Linked DNA regions of Yarrowia lipolytica. The protein of the gene in region 1 interacts with the protein of each later gene in a pairwise test. Links are inferred from orthologs where the notes say so. Each region holds a gene or a part of one and is shown on either strand. Other genes may lie near its edges. The genes, in order: YALI1_F39885g and YALI1_F09456g.

Region 1 (5,637 bases):
ATTCACTTCGTAGATGATGTGAAAACAGATATTCATATTATCAGATGTAGCACCCGACTCCAGGTCTCGAGGATGTCTTACAAAGGAGCGATTCTGAAGAGTCATAAAATGGCCCAACACGAGATGCTCCCAAGTCTCGTGGGTGTTCTGGGTTCTGAGGAAACAGAATGGTTGGCTATTTTTCAAGGTATCATTGGGGTCTCTCACAGCTGTAGTTGCTTCTTCGAAAACTTCAGCTATTCGGGATGGAAGTGAGCGGGCCCGAAGTTCGTAGATGGACACTACCGTATCGAAAGGTACCATGTGCTTGAATGCCTTCTGAAGTACGCTTCCAAGCCATCCGTTCGTTCCTCGACAGGGGTTCATGCAAATTAGGGCCAAGGGCTGTCCGTATGCTCTTAAATGATCCAAAACGGCGACCCGAATGTCCCTGATCAGGTCCAGCGCGTTTTTGGGTTTGCAAGGTATGCTGAATGTGGCAGCCTTGGTGAGATAATCGATGAAGAGCAGAGAATATCCATTCGCGTTAGACAAAGGAAACAGGGCAAAAAACACAACTCCGGGTCGTTCGCAGATTGGGTTTAATTGCGAATTCTTCAGATGATGCTGAAACACCTTGTCCCAAATCGTCCTCTGCATCTTATCCTTCAAGCTTTGGGTCAAGGCCCTGCCACTCTCCGTCTCGTCAAGCCGTGCCTCCAGAGCTTGCAATGCCAGCTTCTCGTCCATATGCATGCCAGATATACTCCATGCAATGATACTCTCAACCATCTCCTTCGGAATTCTTCCAATGTTGAGTCGTTTCTCTAGCAGTTCGCTCACGTAAGTAGCATTCGTAGAGCACCCCGTCATGAAGTGAGCAGCAAGCACCACCCAAGGCACGTGATCTCTGGTCACTCTCACAACCTCCTCGCCCGTGTTTGAATCATTGTCGACGATAAAGGCGGCATTCTGACGCTCCTTCTCATATTCCTCCGGTTCTTGTAATGTGTAGTCCTTGGAAACGCGTCTGTACCATGCCGAAAAGAATAGAAAATAGGAGTCCAGCCGGTCGAAGACTTTCGGTAGTGACAAAGTCTCCCGTACCCTTTGCTGTAATCTGTCTTCCATGTGGCGAGTCCAAAAGACAGCTCGTTGTGCCAAAAAATCGAAATTGAGTAGTGAATGAGTTCTTCTGAACTTGTTAAGCTTGACCCAGCGCGTAAAGATCTTGATATGCAGGAGAAGAAACCCAACTATAAAAACCACACTTCATAACAACAACAGGAGTGAGGATAATGATGATCAGCAACCAATACTTGTAACAAAGACATGACTCACAAAGTGCTTAGTGTACAAAGTAATATAGAATCTACAAGTAGTCGGTATGTTGGTTATATAAATGTTAGGATTTAATCATACACGTTATACAGTATGTGTTCGGGTCAGTGCATGCGCTGACTTTTATATACACCTCGAGAGGCTATTGACTCAATAAAGACTCGTGGCAATGTACCAAACTGTCCAAAATCGAATGGCCATTTCCCTTTATCACCATTTAGAAATATTTCCTTGTCGTCTGGATTTGGTCATCATCCAATCTATCACTAGATAGCATGCTCTTCATCCGCTAGCCTTATGTAATCAACCCTAGCCCTGAATCTTAAATCCAATATGCAGCTACATTTACACCCCGTGCAAGAGTTACACAAACAGAAATGGCCGACGAAGACGCTGACTGGGCCAGAGCACTCGGTGGCGACCCTACCAACGTTGGAGGTGTTGTCCCATCGCTTGATGGTGCAGATGCCATCAAACACTCCGCAGACGCCATCGATTTCGAGGACGAAGACGAGCTGGCAGATGATGAGCTGCCCGAAGAGGAGGAAGCAACCGGAAACAACGTGATTGAGGAGGATGAGGAGATGATTGTCGAGGAGGAAGCTGGTCTATCCATGTCTGGGAACGATAGCCTGGGTGGCTTCCAGTTCCACATTGGCGAGGATGAGCTTGGAGGATTTGATCTGGGAGATGACGAACATTGGAGCCAGAGCTGGGGAGGCAACGAAATGGACGAGCTGCCTGTGATGGACGAGTACGATGATGGTGGTGTTGTCCATGCTGGAATGTTGAATAACAATGCCAACAGCAACAACCATGTCGTGCATGCCGGTGAACCTGGAGAGTCAGACGAAGAGATGGAGATGGAGGCTGCTGGAGGCGACGGGCTGGACATGAAGCTTGACGCAGATGAGCTAGGCGAACTGGGAAAGTTAGGGCCTGCCGACAAGATGGACGCCTCTGGATTTGATGACATCCAACACATGAACATCCAGGAGCTCAATCTGGAGGAAATTGCACAGATGGCGCGTCAGGCTGATCTTGACATGCTTGCAATGTACTTCCCCGGGTTCCAAAAGGGCAAGCCTATGAAGATGAACTCGCTCTTCTACAACAAGTTTGCTGTTCTGAGTCTGCCCAAGCCTAACACTGCTCGTCCGTGTGTCCCCACAAAGACTAAGCTGGAGGTGGCGCCAGATGAGCGTAAGATGACACGAGGAACAGTGTGGGTGGACCATGCTAAGCGGCGACCGGGTGTTGTAACAGTCACCGAGGCCGAGACGGGGGACGATAAGCAGGAACTGGCCCGAGAAAGCAGAACCACACAATCAGCAACAGACCAGCAGCTGCATTTCGACATTACTGACTGGAAGATCACGTGGGGAGATGAGGATGATGGGGATGGAGACGTGGATATGGATTGCGAGGGCGAAAAGGTCAAGGAGGAACAAAAAGAGGTTGTTCCACAGCTCGGCGTGCACAGAAACGAAGAGGCCTGGAACGACGAGGCCTTGTTTGAAGGCGATGCTCTCAGTCAGGTGAAGAAGGTCAACCTCGATATGAACGACCCCAACCTACTGTTCATCAACACAGATGGTCGTGTATCGAAGAATGTGACTCCTGCCATTCCCTCCACCGAACTACAGCTTCGAAACAGATTTAACCTCAGTAACGACCGAGCCTACGATATGCTCAAGGAGAACACACAGAGCAAGGTACGAGCCACTATTGGCAATCTGTCTATCGATCACTCCATGCCAGCTCTCCGACTGCAAAGTCCATTCTACAAAGTGCGAATCTCGAAGCCTCAGGCTCGTTCGTTCCATCGGCCATCATTTGTGGTGAAACCCAACACTACTGTTCACTTTTCGCGAATGAAGATCCGAAAGAAGAAGCGAGACAGGGGAAAGCCTATCAAGGATCTTTTGGCCAAGACTACGGACTTGTCGTTGGGTGACTCTGCTCAGTACTTCCTCATGGAGTACGCTGAGCAATTCCCCATGACCCTCTCCAACTACGGAATGGGCTCTAAGATGATCAACTATTACAGAAAAGCTTCTCCTGAGGATACTTCCCGACCTAAGCTCCCCGTTGGAGAGACACATGTTCTGTCGGTCCAGGACAAGTCTCCCTTTTGGAACTTTGGATTCGTCGAGCCGGGTAAGATTGTGCCTACTCTGTACAACAAGATGATCCGAGCCCCCGTATTCAAGCATACACCACGTGACACAGATTTTCTTATGATCCGATCAACTGGAGGCGATGTGACTGGGGCTGGCCAAAAGTACTTTCTGAGAAATATTCCACATGTCTTCACTGTCGGTCAAACATACCCCGTGACTGACGTACCCGGGCCACACTCTCGAAAGGTAACCACGGCTTCCAAAAACCGGCTCAAGATGATTGTCTATCGAGTGCTAAACGCATCACCTTATCATAGAATCAACGTGAAGGATATCGCCGAACATTTCCCTGATCAGATTGACACTCAAAACCGACAGAGGCTCAAGGAGTTTATGGAGTATCAGCGAACAGGTGAGGATCAGGGTTACTGGAAGGTCAAGCCTACCGATACTCTTCCTGGCGAGGACGGCATCAGAACCATGATCACACCCGAGGACATCACTCTCTTGGAGGCCATGCAGGTTGGTGTTCAGAACCTTGAGGATGCTGGATATGGTCGAACTGACGACATTGAGAGCGACCATGAGAATGGCGAGGAGTCTGGTCTTTCTCTGGAGGAGCAGTCTGCTCCATGGAACCTGACCAGAAACTTCATCAACGCTACCCAGGGCAAGGCCATGCTGCAGCTGCATGGCGAGGGTGATCCTTCTGGTCGAGGCGAGGGTTTCTCATTCCTCAAGACTTCCATGAAGGGTGGTTTTCAGGCCGCTGGTGAGTCTGTCAATGAGAAGCTTGACAAGAGCAAGTTTGGCGGACACAAGTACAACGTGGCCCACCAGCAGCGTGCATACGACGATGAGATCAGCCGAATCTGGTATGCCCAGTGTCGAGCTCTCAGCAACACCAAGGTACCTGAAGAGAACGACGAAGATTCAAAATGGGCCGATGCTGAGGAGCAGCGAGAACAACAAGAGCGGGTGTCTACGCCTGGTTTCACTAGCGCAGCCTTCCCCGACGATGATAACATGTCGCTCATGTCAGGCGACTCGGCCATGCAGCAGCGCAACAAGGTGCTGCGAATCACGCGAATGGTCAAGGACGAGCACGGTATCATCCAGCGAAAGGTCGAGACCATCAAGGACCCCAGTGTCATTCGAGCATACATTCGACGACGAAAGCTGATGGACGAGGCCAAGCTAACACTCGACGACTTAGACCCCACCAACGACGAGGAGGCCAACAAGCGAAACAAGCGGCTGCTGGAGGAGCGGCTGGAGGATCTGCGAAAGAAGGGCGAGCGACGAAAGCAGCGACAGGCCCAGAAGCAGGGTCTCAACACAATCAACCTCGGCACCGACACTCCTCCCCCTTCAGGCAAGGGTGTCGGCAAAGGCAAGGGTCCGCGACAGTGCAAGAACTGTGGTGCATATGGCCACATTCGAACCAACAAGAGTTGTCCCATGTACAACCAACTCGAGGGACCTGCCAACCTGTAGTTGTATAGCATGGAGGAATAGTAAATTATTATGTATTATTGCACAGGTAAAGACGTAAAAAAATCGTACAAACAAGAGAAAACAGTGGTCGGTTATGGTGCTACAGTATGTACTGCACATACAGTATTAACAATACTCATTAAGTATAAGTGTTTGAGAATGGCTCGGAAAAGGTTGGTGTGATTCAATTACATAGGATAAATGGCCTCATACATCAGGCCTTCTGTCGATTCAACATCAGAAAACTTGCCACTCCAATGCTCAACTCTCTTGCCAACTCGGGGAGGATCAATCATCATCTCTCTCTTGTCCACATTGATAGCACAGTAGAAAATCCAATTGAGATAACCGCAATGGTTCTTGAGAATGTTGAGTCGTTCTAGAAGATTGAATGATCCATGGTGACACTGATTATTCTCTGGTCCAGCGCAGGAATAGACATCTTCAATAGGAGCATTAATACCTGTGGGATCACTGATGTAAACTTCTCCCAGAGTATGTGAATAACCAGCGGGCCATCCAACAAAGAAGTCGTTCCAGTGAGTGACTCGGTACATCCGTCTTTCGGGGTTGATGGTAAGTCCGTCGTCTCCTTGCTTAAAGAACAGAGCGTCCACGTAGTCTGCAAAAGCCTTGTTTCCAAGTCGAGGCTGCCCATAGTTGATTAGCGTTGGATCATATCCAAGATTCTTCAGGT
Region 2 (3,723 bases), about 3.0 Mb from region 1:
GGCATGTCATGTGAAATGGAGCAGACCAGGCCTGGGCGAGAGTGTGTCATATGACCAAAGGGGCATGAGGAGGAGGTGGGTAGTTAAATTGGTTGTATTTACAGTTATGTCGGGAGCTGAAGGGTGGTTTTGGAGGCGGGTGTTTTTGTTTGTATGTTTGAGTAAATTTTGGCATTAAAAATGAACAAAAATTACGTAAAATAAACAAAAATCAAGGGAAGTAGATATAGTTGTCATTGACGTATTAAATGGGCATTGGCGGATTATAATGGACTTGGACGGATTAGAATGATCATTTCACGGCTACAAGTACCGTAATGCTTGATATTTAACAACAGCTGATTCTCTTCTATGAGCTATAGTAGCTACTGTATGTACAGTACATACTGTACTTACTGGTATGTTATAGTAAGAGCTTCTGGTACATAAGTACATTATGTATTCGTAGTCTATAGCGTCAATATCCTACTCGTACTGTACTTACTGTACTGTAACTACGATACTATGAGCTAACTATCAGCAGACCCTTAGAGGAATACTTATAGCTAAGGCAAGTGACAAGAATGCTCATATATTGACCAATAGTATTCAATACAGAGAAGATACAGACAATGTACCAGACGAGATCTCTTGTATGATTCAGTTAATGTCCCATAATTGGATGGTTCATAGCAGACCCATCTGGGAAGAAGATATCTGAGGGCTGATACCAGGACCTCATCATGACCAATGATAGCAGGGAGTATGTTGTGAACCAAGTCAAGTTCTGCTCCACATTGTAATCATTCACACAGCATCTACGAGTACATACCGTGTACTGTACTTCCACAGTCACCGCTGTTCCGATAAAGCTAGGAATAGACCAGGAGATGGTAAGTATAAGTATGTATGTTTTGTATGTATGTACATACTGGACAGTATGTACCAGTTCTATCAGTTACTACAGTAATTAGTCCAATCCACTCAATCACACTGGTGGTCATTTTTGGTAACCGTTGATCACTTGAAGTTGGCCATCTCACTGACCTATAGCCCGATTATCATGATGTACTCATGCCACCATGAAAGCCCAAGTAGGTACAGTCTTGCTCTCTCACTTCCACCAGTGGTATCAAAGATGAGTCACTCTTGACAATACCGCCGTTCGAAGACTTCAAGGAAGACTACGTGGTCATCCGAGGTATCGACACATGTCTCCACCAGTGTCTGTGGTATCTCACTGGGTTATCAACTATAGCTACGTTCAGTACATTACATACTTATGATGGTAAGACGTTGAACATTACGTCATGTTCACCAGCAAAGTGATATGGGAGGATGGTAGGTTACGGAAGTATATATTAGAGAAGGTTCTGGTGGCTCCAATTTGAGGGGTCCTGCAACAGTACTTTGAACCAATAAAATGGGCTGTAATTTTTCATAATTACTGATAATACCACCAAGCAGAGGTTTATCAAAAAACTGAGTGAAAATATTATCACAATGACATTCTAAGACCTCTCATAGACATACCCCCATCCTACATACAAAGAAAACCTTGATTGCTGTACAGTGTGGTATTATGTATTGTACGATACGATTCTAATAAATTGCTGTGTGAGGGAGTGCTCTAGGGATGTCTCATTGAGTATTAGCAAATCTTTTTGGGCACAAGAGCACGTTTGTTCCGTCATTCTGCTCAATCCGCCTATATAAAGCAGTTCTCTTCTCCCTCCTCTCACCGTCTCCAACATGACACAGCACCACCTCACATACTCCCAACCTGTGAAACTCTGTCCTGCCCTGTGGTGCAGGAGCAGACCAAATCACTGTGTCTAACAGCTCCTCATCCAACAACATGTCTCAACGCGACTCAGCTTCGCCACATCCGCAGGCCTCGCCGGGGATGGCCAAGCAGGAGCCCGTGCTGTTGCCCGGCCGGGAAAAGTCGCCGCCCCAGCAGCTCCAGTTCCACCAGGAGTTCCCCAACAACAGTTTCAAGCGCACTTCCACGTCGGCCATGACGCCACCAATCTCCAAAAAGCCGAAAATGGCGCCGCAGACCTTCAACAACTACAATGCGTCTAACTATGGCCAGTTCCAGGCGTCACCCATGAACTCGGGCGCAAATACACCCATTCCACAGCAACAAAACATGCCGCAGAACCAACAGACACAGAACCAACAACAGGGAGGCCCCGGCGGACAGGGACCCGGACAACCACTCGATCCTGATCAGCTCAGTGACGTCATTTCGGCGGTGGGTCTTGATCTCAAGCAGGAGGAGGCGCTGTTGCAACAGGGAGTGCCCCAGGCCGGCTACGGCATGCAGCAGCAGCAATACGGATACAGACAGCAGGGACACGCGCTGCTGGACCAGAAACGGGTGGCGTACACGGTCCGACAGCTAAGCCAGGAAGCTGGCCTGCGATTCAACAGTGATAGAGCCGGAGAAACGGCTTTGCTCATCTCGCACGCCTGTGAGGAGTGGCTCAACCAGATTCTGACTCAGGCGCTGGTTCTGTCGCGACATAGACGGCGATCGAGAAACTCGGTGCACAGTAGCCTGTCACGTGCGCTCAAGGGTATCGCTGTCAAAGACAAGGAGCGGGAGGACAAGCGAGCAGAGCGCAAGAACCTGCTGGGTCTGGATCACGCGGAACCCGAGTCTGCAGCCAACCCCGAGGACCAGCAGCACAAGGCTGCCAACATGACGGCCGCCATGATGTCTTCGGGCAAAAAGAAGTACTCGTGGATGGCAGGAGGCGTGGGAGCCAGTGCTGGAGGAATGCGAATGGGCCAGACAGGCGGAGGCAGAGGCGACTCGGCGATAAAGACACGAGAAGCCAAGGAAGAACCCGGAGTGGCCCTCAGAGATTTGCTGGGAGCCCTAGAGAAGGAGAGAGCAGGAGTGGAAAAGGCCATCGTGAAGGGCTATGCCAAGTTGAGAAATTAACCGTCAGAGGTGAGTGGTTGGTTTTGTAAAAGAGAAGTATAGCTGAAGGGCGACCATCAAAATCATTAGTGTGGATTCATTGAAGTGATTGGAGGAGGAGGATAGCTTCATCGGATAGGCTCCGTGGTTGAAAGAGGTAAAGCTTTCCAGTATGTTATGGAAAAACTTATTGACAGCAGCATAAGAGCTAGGATACAGGTATAGCAAATAACGAAATGTATATTATATGATATGATGGATGGGATTGTACAGGTACAAGTACGCGTCATAGAAACCATCTGTAGGCGAAATAGATGACTGTCCAGTTTATGACGGCGGAACCAAATATGGTCCCTATGACAATTGCATCTCTCCAGGTGAACTTCCGTTTGGGGGCCTCAAACGTCTGCTCATGTACTTTTTGTAAAATCCCTTTTCTAACGTCGAACACATACTTTTTGGCACTTCCCATGACCATGACGTACCGAGTTCCCCACCAGGGGTCCCTGTGACTCCCTGTTGATCTAAAAAGATGCTTGATCCACGAGGAGTGCCGTGCTGGAGAGCTGTTCAAGTTGGCCTGTAGACAGTAGTATTTCTTCTTACCAAAGAAGGCAAACAGTCCGTCGTAAACCACAGCGTGTCGCAGGTCATTCAGACCAATGTCGATGGGCACAAAGTACCGGTCTTTGAAAAGATACATGGCTGCTGGTTGTGTAAAACTGGAGTAGAAGCAGTGGCTGTGAGTGTAAAAGAGGAAGGTATGGGCACCCAGAGTGTACACGGACGGGGATCCCTGGACCGTGATA

The links.
Region 2: the proteins of YALI1_F39885g (region 1) and YALI1_F09456g interact in binary tests that used the Saccharomyces cerevisiae proteins (3 or more experiments, as listed by UniProt). The link is inferred for Yarrowia lipolytica from reciprocal best matches to the Saccharomyces cerevisiae genes TAF1 and TAF4.

Annotation. Positions count from the first base shown.
Region 1 is NC_090775.1:3,984,650-3,990,286, reverse strand, and holds YALI1_F39885g (uncharacterized protein), read left to right. Parts: upstream 1-1,697; coding exon 1,698-4,940; downstream 4,941-5,637. Other genes in the region: YALI1_F39891g (uncharacterized protein), read right to left, coding at 1-1,110; YALI1_F39844g (uncharacterized protein), read right to left, coding at 5,129-5,637. UniProt on the Saccharomyces cerevisiae protein: Functions as a component of the DNA-binding general transcription factor complex TFIID. Binding of TFIID to a promoter (with or without TATA element) is the initial step in pre-initiation complex (PIC) formation.
Region 2 is NC_090775.1:943,857-947,579, forward strand, and holds YALI1_F09456g (uncharacterized protein), read left to right. Parts: upstream 1-1,837; coding exon 1,838-2,935; downstream 2,936-3,723. Other genes in the region: YALI1_F09481g (uncharacterized protein), read right to left, coding at 3,201-3,723. UniProt on the Saccharomyces cerevisiae protein: Functions as a component of the DNA-binding general transcription factor complex TFIID. Binding of TFIID to a promoter (with or without TATA element) is the initial step in pre-initiation complex (PIC) formation.